Arabidopsis thaliana: one gene and its partner. The protein of the gene in region 2 interacts with the protein of the main gene of each other region in a biochemical or structural test. Each region holds a gene or a part of one and is shown on either strand. Other genes may lie near its edges.

The links.
Region 1: the proteins of CBL6 (region 2) and SR1 form a complex in vitro, tested with the Arabidopsis thaliana proteins (one study listed by BioGRID).

The regions. Positions count from the first base shown.
Region 1 is NC_003076.8:312,381-317,096, reverse strand, and holds SR1 (serine/threonine protein kinase 1), read left to right. Parts: upstream 1-1,691; 5' UTR 1,692-2,345; coding exon 2,346-3,674; 3' UTR 3,675-3,907; downstream 3,908-4,716. UniProt on the Arabidopsis thaliana protein: CIPK serine-threonine protein kinases interact with CBL proteins. Binding of a CBL protein to the regulatory NAF domain of CIPK protein lead to the activation of the kinase in a calcium-dependent manner.
Region 2 is NC_003075.7:9,241,447-9,245,918, reverse strand, and holds CBL6 (calcineurin B-like protein 6), read left to right. Parts: upstream 1-2,006; 5' UTR 2,007-2,043; intron 2,044-2,222; 5' UTR 2,223-2,249; coding exon 2,250-2,367; intron 2,368-2,446; coding exon 2,447-2,517; intron 2,518-2,601; coding exon 2,602-2,661; intron 2,662-2,732; coding exon 2,733-2,841; intron 2,842-2,922; coding exon 2,923-3,056; intron 3,057-3,147; coding exon 3,148-3,260; intron 3,261-3,338; coding exon 3,339-3,414; 3' UTR 3,415-3,620; downstream 3,621-4,472. UniProt on the Arabidopsis thaliana protein: Acts as a calcium sensor. CBL proteins interact with CIPK serine-threonine protein kinases. Binding of a CBL protein to the regulatory NAF domain of a CIPK protein lead to the activation of the kinase in a calcium-dependent manner.

The DNA.
Region 1 (4,716 bases), on a different chromosome or scaffold from region 2:
GTTATTTATGGTCATATATATTATATCGTTAAATTTTGTCGTAAAAATGGGTTATATGGTCACATTAATCTTGCATGGGACCAAAAGTAACAAGCTAAATTAATAATGTATTCTTTTATTTTGTTTGTCAACAATTAATAATGTATTCAAAATCAGTAGATATTTTGATTGGAGCAACCTTTCGAACCAACGAAAGAAAAGGGGCAATTATATAACCATCCATTTTTATTGACAGAACCTTGATTTCGTAATTATTTAACGAGCTTCTTTCCTTCCTCCTTCTCTTTTTCCCCAACGAAAGAAGCTTCCATGAAACAGCATCAGAAAAAATCAAAATTAAAAACAAATGAAATCTTTCGTACATCACATTATTAACGCGGTAATTTATTTTTATTTTATTCCCGTACATGTCTTTTAATGGATTTATATATATTAAAAAAGATGTTGATTTGGTTTTATGTGAATACTGTAGTACTAATTTATGCCTACCAAAAAAAAATAGTACTAATTTATGTGTGGCTTGGATTTATATATATGTACAAATGGGCACAGCGTGACAGCGAAAATAGTAACGTACGATTTATCTAATCTTTAAAACGTTGTGTGTTTTGGATAAATTACAAAAATAATTAAAATTGATTTTATATTTTGTTGTACGCTGCGGTGGGTAGATCACGTCGTAGATTTACTATAAAAATTGACACTGCAAAATTTATCCTCTTTTTTTTGGTATTAAACTTTAACCAAAACTTCACAAGATTATAAAAGCCTTGCACTCTAACAATGCAATGCGATGATTTCTAAGTCGTCAAATGTTTAAGTCTGAGGAATTGGGACATAATTAGTGTGATTGTGGGTAGTGATCATACATGGAACTAATACATCTTTATAAAATTATACTGACTTTCCAACTTAGCTAAGTAAGAAAATAGTAACTATTAAAAAAAAACAATGAGATAATGTTAAATATTAATCAAATTTGTTTTTCTTTTTTATTTTGGGCAAAAGTTATTTTTTCAAGCGCACTGTTTGTACTTTATAATGTGAAACATATATTGAAAATAATCAATTGAAATCTTAAATGTAGTCATATTTCTTTTTTTCAAAAAGCATCAAATAGATCAATTTGCCCATAAGACTCGATTTATTTTTCCACGAATATGGGAAAAAACAACTGGAGATTTTTAAAAAGGAATGACATATGTTTTCCAAATGTATTAACTAATGATTCCAACATAAGCAAATATATTTTCTAAAAATAGTGAAATAAACAACTGTGAAATGTATACAAAAAGCATGAAATATATTTTCCCAAGTATTGTTTAAATTTGATAAATAATTCAAGTTATTTGGAACAGTGATGGAGTGGAAAAATAAACATAAGAATCATAATTAAAAATGAACGTAGAGTTTAGATAGTGATTTGAAAAGATTAAGGAAGATTAGGAAATGACACTAGTTATAGGACGATTCCAACCTTGAGCAGTGGGGCGGGAGTTGTAGTAACCTGTCAACCGCAATATATAGCCTGGTGCTCAAAATGAGACTTGAACTAATACTAATAAGGGGAATTTGGATGTTCAAAGGACTTAACCACGATTGATGACTAAACAAAGCAGTGGTTAGCTGAATTACTAACTAACTAGAGCTAGCTGCCTAGGCTAGTCGAAAGAACAATTCTCCGTTTTGAGTTGACCATAAAATAATAATATTCAACAATATTGGAGGAAACATGTTTATATGTTCTTGTAATAATAATATTATAGCAAATAGCCGAAGATACGACGAAGCGTATATGTGTGAAATGAGTATATTCTACAGCCTAAACCCTCGGAGATACCAAATCAACACGACAACAGCGACGGGACACCTGTATGGTTCTAATTCAACTTCTTGTCCACATCTTCATCTTCTTCTTCTTCTTTTTTTAATAGATATATTAAGAAAACAAAACAGAAAATCTCCCACGTCTTTACAAAGAAAATAAAGAAGAAGAAAATAAGGAAAAAGAATCTGATAGTAATTGACAAAAATACCCTCATCTCCTACCTCAAGACAGTAATATATATGTAACAACTCGATACAGAGCATGGCTTATCTCTTATCCGAATCCTCCCAATTTGTCTGTCTCTCTTTTGTTTTCTCTGCTAACAGATCTCTCTAAATATCTGTTACTTTTGTTCATATCTTTTTACTTTTCAAACTACTAATTTTCCTTTCGCTTCTTCTATTAATAACAACACTCTCTCTCTCAGACTTCTTTTCTTTTTTTTCTACGGCGTTGATTCATTCGCAATGACCTCAGTTTCTGTGTACCATAATTGACCTAGCAGATTCTGTTTTTAATGGTAGATTCTGACCCGGTGGAATTTCCGCCGGAGAACCGCCGTGGACAGCTCTTCGGCAAATACGAGGTCGGAAAATTGGTGGGATGCGGCGCCTTCGCGAAAGTGTACCACGGGAGGAGCACAGCGACGGGTCAGAGCGTTGCGATCAAAGTGGTGAGCAAGCAACGGCTGCAGAAAGGAGGACTCAATGGCAACATTCAGAGAGAGATCGCTATCATGCACCGTCTGCGCCACCCTTCTATCGTGCGCCTGTTCGAGGTCCTCGCCACCAAATCCAAGATCTTCTTCGTCATGGAATTCGCCAAGGGCGGTGAGCTATTCGCCAAAGTCTCCAAGGGCAGGTTCTGCGAGGATCTTAGCCGTCGTTATTTCCAGCAGCTCATCTCCGCCGTCGGATATTGCCACTCCCGCGGCATCTTTCACCGTGATCTCAAACCGGAGAATCTCCTCCTCGACGAGAAGCTCGATTTGAAGATCTCTGATTTCGGACTCAGCGCTCTTACCGATCAGATCCGACCCGACGGCCTCCTCCACACACTCTGTGGTACGCCGGCGTACGTGGCGCCTGAGGTTTTGGCGAAGAAAGGGTACGACGGTGCTAAAATCGACATATGGTCATGTGGAATCATACTGTTCGTCCTCAACGCCGGTTATCTCCCTTTCAACGACCATAATCTCATGGTTATGTACCGGAAAATCTACAAGGGAGAATTTCGCATTCCCAAGTGGACCTCACCGGATCTCCGGCGACTGCTGACTCGGCTTTTAGACACGAATCCGCAGACGAGGATCACTATCGAAGAGATCATCCACGATCCATGGTTCAAACAGGGCTACGACGATCGGATGTCTAAATTCCATCTAGAGGACTCCGATATGAAACTCCCGGCGGACGAGACCGACAGCGAGATGGGAGCAAGGAGGATGAACGCATTCGACATCATCTCAGGATCTCCAGGGTTCAATCTCTCCGGTCTTTTCGGAGACGCCAGAAAGTACGACCGAGTGGAACGGTTCGTGTCGGCGTGGACGGCGGAGAGGGTGGTGGAGAGGCTGGAGGAGATCGTGTCGGCGGAGAATCTGACGGTGGCGAAGAAGGAAACATGGGGGATGAAGATCGAGGGGCAAAAAGGTAACTTCGCAATGGTGGTTGAGATAAACCAGCTAACGGACGAGCTGGTTATGATAGAGGTGAGGAAGAGACAAAGAGCCGCTGCATCTGGACGAGATTTATGGACAGATACACTCAGGCCTTTCTTCGTCGAGCTTGTGCACGAATCAGACCAAACGGACCCAGAACCAACTCAAGTACATACGACGTCGTAGTTTAGGTATCTGTCAAATAAATTATCCAAATAATAATTAAAAAAAAATATCCCGGGTTATATGTAATTGCTTTTTTTTTTACCCGGAGAATATCTCTGACATAATTATTCAGGAAATTTCTCGACAAATCTTAATTTTTAGTTGGCAAGTATGTATCTTCTTGTTATGTAATCATAATTATATTTTATATAAATGAAAAATAAAATATAAAAAAATGTATTACTTGTTTTAAATGGCCACTATAATACATTAGTAACGTATCGTGGATGTGAAGTAATGCTATGTGTACAAGACACTCTAACTTAACCATTACTTAAGGATTAGTTAACTATTCAACATGATATTTAACATACATATAGATGTAATTTTTAACAACTCATAAAACACAGTCTTCTTCTGCTATTAATTTTGTCATTATGTAAAAAGAAGTGTCAAGATTTGAGCCATGAACTAACACAACTGATCTACTTTCACCTTTTTGATAAGTAAGAGGTTGTCCTTATCACATCATTGTAAAAATATACTATTAAAATAGATATATAGCTAGTGGACTTTATATAATCCTATCGCATGTGGCTGTGATATAAGATCATACACCAATAATTCTCATCAATCATTTTCTTTTCTTGGTATCCACATTGAATCCAATCATCCATAATCCATTAATTTCAGCTTCAGCAGTTATAATTACTGTAATCAACATATATATCACCTTTTCAATGCAATAATTGTAGGCTCCACGATCTATATATTATCCAATTTACTATATACACAATCACATCGTACACTTTTAAAGCACTTAATATGCTTTAATTAATTCCTTAATTGTGGTTATATGTAACTAATTATCCTGTTGAGCATAAAAGGAAAAGTAGGAAACACACAAATGCAAAAATCTGACGAGCACGTTATGTTGGTTAGATTACGAAAAGACAAGAGTCTTAAATTGGGTGGTTTCCTTGGTTCTCCTTCAATCCAATTTGTAGTTGTTGGCCCACTAAAAGATAGCGGATTAAGCAAAACCCTTAGAAAAATATACTCT
Region 2 (4,472 bases):
CACGAAGGATTAGGGATATGAATTTCATCAGGTCTTTGAAGTGGAAGCACCGGAACCTAAAAAAAGACACAAACTTTAAAAGCTACAGATCTCTCTCTTTCATCACATCCTCCAGATTAAGACATCGAATCTGAAACCAAAACAAAAACCTGAGGAGCAAACATGAGAGGAGACTGAGTAGCTCGAGGGCTATGAGGAGGAGATTGACCCATAAGCTCAGGAGGAGCGACATGGTTACCATCAGAAGCAGCAGACATAGCTTCACGAGAACAAATCTCAGCGTCTTCGTCTTCAACAGCAGAAGCGTTGTTACTATTTCGGTTTTCTTTTGGCGTTCACGTTACCCATATCACACAAACAAAAGCGATAAAATCTAATCTCAATCTCTTCCTTATTAAAAACTCTTTTTTTTTACCGCAATCTGAGAAAAAAGAGGAAACTTCTCACCAGATCTCACCACAAATTCATCACTTACACAACATACTCGATTACAAGGACATGCCCGGGTTTAAAGATTGGTGCTTTTTCCCGTAGAAATTGATCAAAAAGAGTAGTAGGGACGGAGAAATTGAGGGCAAATTTATAAAAAGCCTTCCTGAGAGATCAGAAACTACAAACAAAAAAAGCAGGAAAGAGAAAACGAAAAAAAAAGGACCAATCTTTGATTCAACTGAAGCAAGACTCTCTACTCTCACACAAATTTCTTGCTGTTGTTGTTTGTCATAGCATCAATTGTTGTTGTTCCCATACCACTCTCCATCTTCCCCCACTCACATTTTCTGCTCTCTCTTTACTTTCATCTCTTTGTTTTTTCTTTATTGCATTTATTACCCTATAGTTTGATTTGGTTGAATTTACCCCCCAACACCCCACATTTGGTCTCAGTCTAATCAGTGGTAGGCACATCAATGGTCATCATTCTCACCAATTATTAGATAGATGTTGTATTCAATTCATTAACTCACTCGTTTGGTAATGCTCTATGTTTCAAAAGATGTAAACTTTGAAGTGGCCAGATTTATGTTTTTGTGGTCAATGTCTTTCTTTTCCCACCAGTTGAGTTTATGGCTATATCAAGTTTTCTGTTTTGGTTGATATTTGTTTTCCACCACTCAACTATTCCTCATAGATGATGGAAACATATAACAACCAAGATAAGAGATAGAGATAGAGAAGGAAATAATCCTTGAGTACATATAGAGAGAGCCTAGCCTAGTTAGTTAATATCTGTGATTCAGAGTGGAAGTGAGATTGTGATGGTCTTGCAGTATAAGCCTGTGCTGACTTGGGAACACTTATTTCAAACTAATCCCAACAAAACAAACAATAAAATTTACATCATAAAGTTGAATGGTATGTTGTTTGGTATATAAAAAAAGAGGAAGCAAATTTAACATCTTTACCATTCACTTTTGATTGGTTCGTCTTCAGAATCCAGAGACTTTTGTTGGTTTGGCCGTATCAACTAGAAAAATTGAACCTCTTATATGCGAGAAGTCGCTTGTGTTCTTGGAACCAACATTTATCTTTTGTCTCGTCAGGTTTACAAAGCGCTTCTTGGAAGCTGACTCAACAGCTTGCTGTTAAATAATTACAAAGGACCTGTGAGGAGGAAGAGGTCAAAAAGAAGAAACAGAGAAGATCAACAAAGTTTGACATTGAAAAACATAGATAGTTGGTGGTCAGAAGGGCTGGATTCATTCTTTGCCAAAGCGTATCAACTTCACCTTCAGGCTTGTTTTGTGAATGTTATTCCCTAAAACAGACTTTTTTTGGTCTTCTGAATCTTGTTAGTTATGATGAATGAATCATAGTATCTTCCTTTTTCTCTCTCTCTCGAAATGTCAACTTGTTAGAGTGGTCACCAACTAAGAGTTGACTTATTTACGCCAACGAACTTGTAGATCCTTTCCCATGTCTCTGTAGCCAACAAAAACTTTTATGGAGAGAGAGAAATATCAGATCGTGGTCAAAAAAATAAACACTCTTGGAACAAGTCGTGATCTGAAGCTTCTTTACACGCTAACGAGAAAAAAAGAATAGGTATATTGCTTTGGTTCATCTTCTTCTCTTCTCTCAAAAAAGTCAAGACTAGATTCATTTGATGTCTCCATTGGATCGGCAAATTTATGTTCGATTCTTGATTTTTTTTCTTGATGCCATATGTTTAGAGGGTTTCTGTTGACATTCAATGGATTTAACCTTTTTTCTGTTTGTGGTAGGCATGGACATAGTGACTTTTGGGAGAGATGATGATGCAATGTTTAGATGGATTAAAGCACTTAGCCTTAATTCTGTTGACTTGTTGTGATGCTGATCCTCCCAAGGTTCGTCAGAACCCTAAGGATGTGGCTAGAGGCACTGTGTGTATGTGTCTACCCCTACATTTACTTTTACTATTTTTATTTGTCACAACCCCAACAATGGCTTTATGTACCAAATGCAGTTACAGTGAATGAGATTGAAGCTCTTTACGAACTGTTCAAGAGCATTAGCAAAAACGGGCTTATCGACAAGGTATGCAAGAATCCATAGTCGGACACGAGTACTATATCTCTCTGTTCCTCTACATTCACTAGGATCCTTTCAAATATATTGCAGGAACAATTTCAATTGGTACTATTCAAAATGAACACAACGAGAAGCCTTTTTGCTGATAGGGTAAATTAGATAGACTTGTAACTCACTTATATGAGTTTCCTTGCTGTACACTCATACTTCAAGCTTTGCAGGTGTTTGACTTGTTTGATACCAAGAATACTGGGATTCTAGATTTTGAAGCCTTTGCTCGTTCACTTTCGGTCTTTCACCCTAATGCTAAATTTGAGGATAAGATTGAGTGTAAGTGGTCGAGAGAGACTTGACCTTCTTTTTTTTTGTCATATCCAAACCTTGGATCAAGCTCATCTTTTGTCTCTGCAGTCTCTTTCAAGCTGTATGATCTGAATCAGCAAGGTTATATAAAGAGACAGGAGGTGAAGCAAATGGTTGTGCGGACTCTAGCTGAATCTGGCATGAACCTTTCTGATCATGTGATTGAGAGCATCATAGACAAGGTGGGTTTGGTTGATCTCCTCCATTGACACTAACTAGGATTCTCATATTTAATCTTTGACAAGAGATGTAAAAACTGATTGGTGTGTGTAGACATTTGAAGAAGCTGATACTAAACTGGACGGGAAGATTGATAAGGAAGAGTGGAGGAGTCTTGTGTTGCGCCACCCCTCTCTGTTACAGAACATGAGCCTTCAACATCTCAAGTAAGCTAGCCATGTTATTTGCCTTATTATCTTCTTCGTGCGGGACTAACATGTTTTTGTATGTTGTGTTTTGTGTAGAGACGTAACAAAGACGTTTCCAAATTTTGTATTTCACACTATAGTGACAGACACTCCTAGTGAGCTGGATGGATGATCAGGGATGTGAAGAAAGACCAAAACCCTTTACAAGATCATTCATACTTGATTCTTATCTTCTTCTCCATTACTCTATTACAACCCTCCTCTTTATTTTTAATAAATACGTTCTGAAAGCAGCATTACCTCACATGTTTGTGTATCCGCAAACTTGTTCGGTTTATCTTATCTGTTGGAGTGTGCAAATTGATTCTTTTACTCGGCATTAGTTTTATTTTGTTGCTTCTTCTTTCTTTCTATCTAAATTTGTTAGTTGGAGTAAAATCCGGACAACCATATTTTACAGGGAACCCAAATGGCGAGATAGTTTTAACATGAGAAAGGAAAGATTCATGTGAATGAGAAACTGGTTAACTTGAATCTCATAGATCATTGTATACTTGGACATTTTCCCAAGATTAGAACAAACAATACTAGATCTCTCGAAAATATCTTCATCACAGTTGCAAAGAGCCGTGGAGAACCCAACTCTTGAGCTCAAAATTGTATCAGCTAGTGACGTCAACCATATCGAATATGTCACGGACAAAATGGACGTATACGCCGTCGTTTCAATCAAAGACAACACAACTCAACAGCAACAAGCGGCCAAAACTCCCATTGATATATAACGGAGGTTCTAATCCGACTTGGAATCACACACCGTTAAGTTCTCCGTCAACGAGAGAGAAGCCACGAAGCCCAATAATTATGTTAACCAGTGTAACGTTTTTTCACCCACTTAATTTTTTGGCTGGGTCTGCCTAACATTCTAGGCACAAGTTAAAGAGGTGATCAATTTTTAGAAATTATAACCCTAATGCTAACATGAATGATATATAAAAAGGCCGCAATGGTAGACTATAATGGCAACAACTCTGAAACAATGGCTAAAGATTGGGATTCACCGATTCATAGATACCAAAGGTAACTATGAACTCGTTTACGGTTTATCTCAACATGAATCCGTAGAAACAAATCAACAATCCTAATTTCAATAAAGTGTGACAACTAAATTCTTTAGCCGTATACTTTCTAATTCCATTTTGTTTGGTATAATGAGAATTGGAATGACTT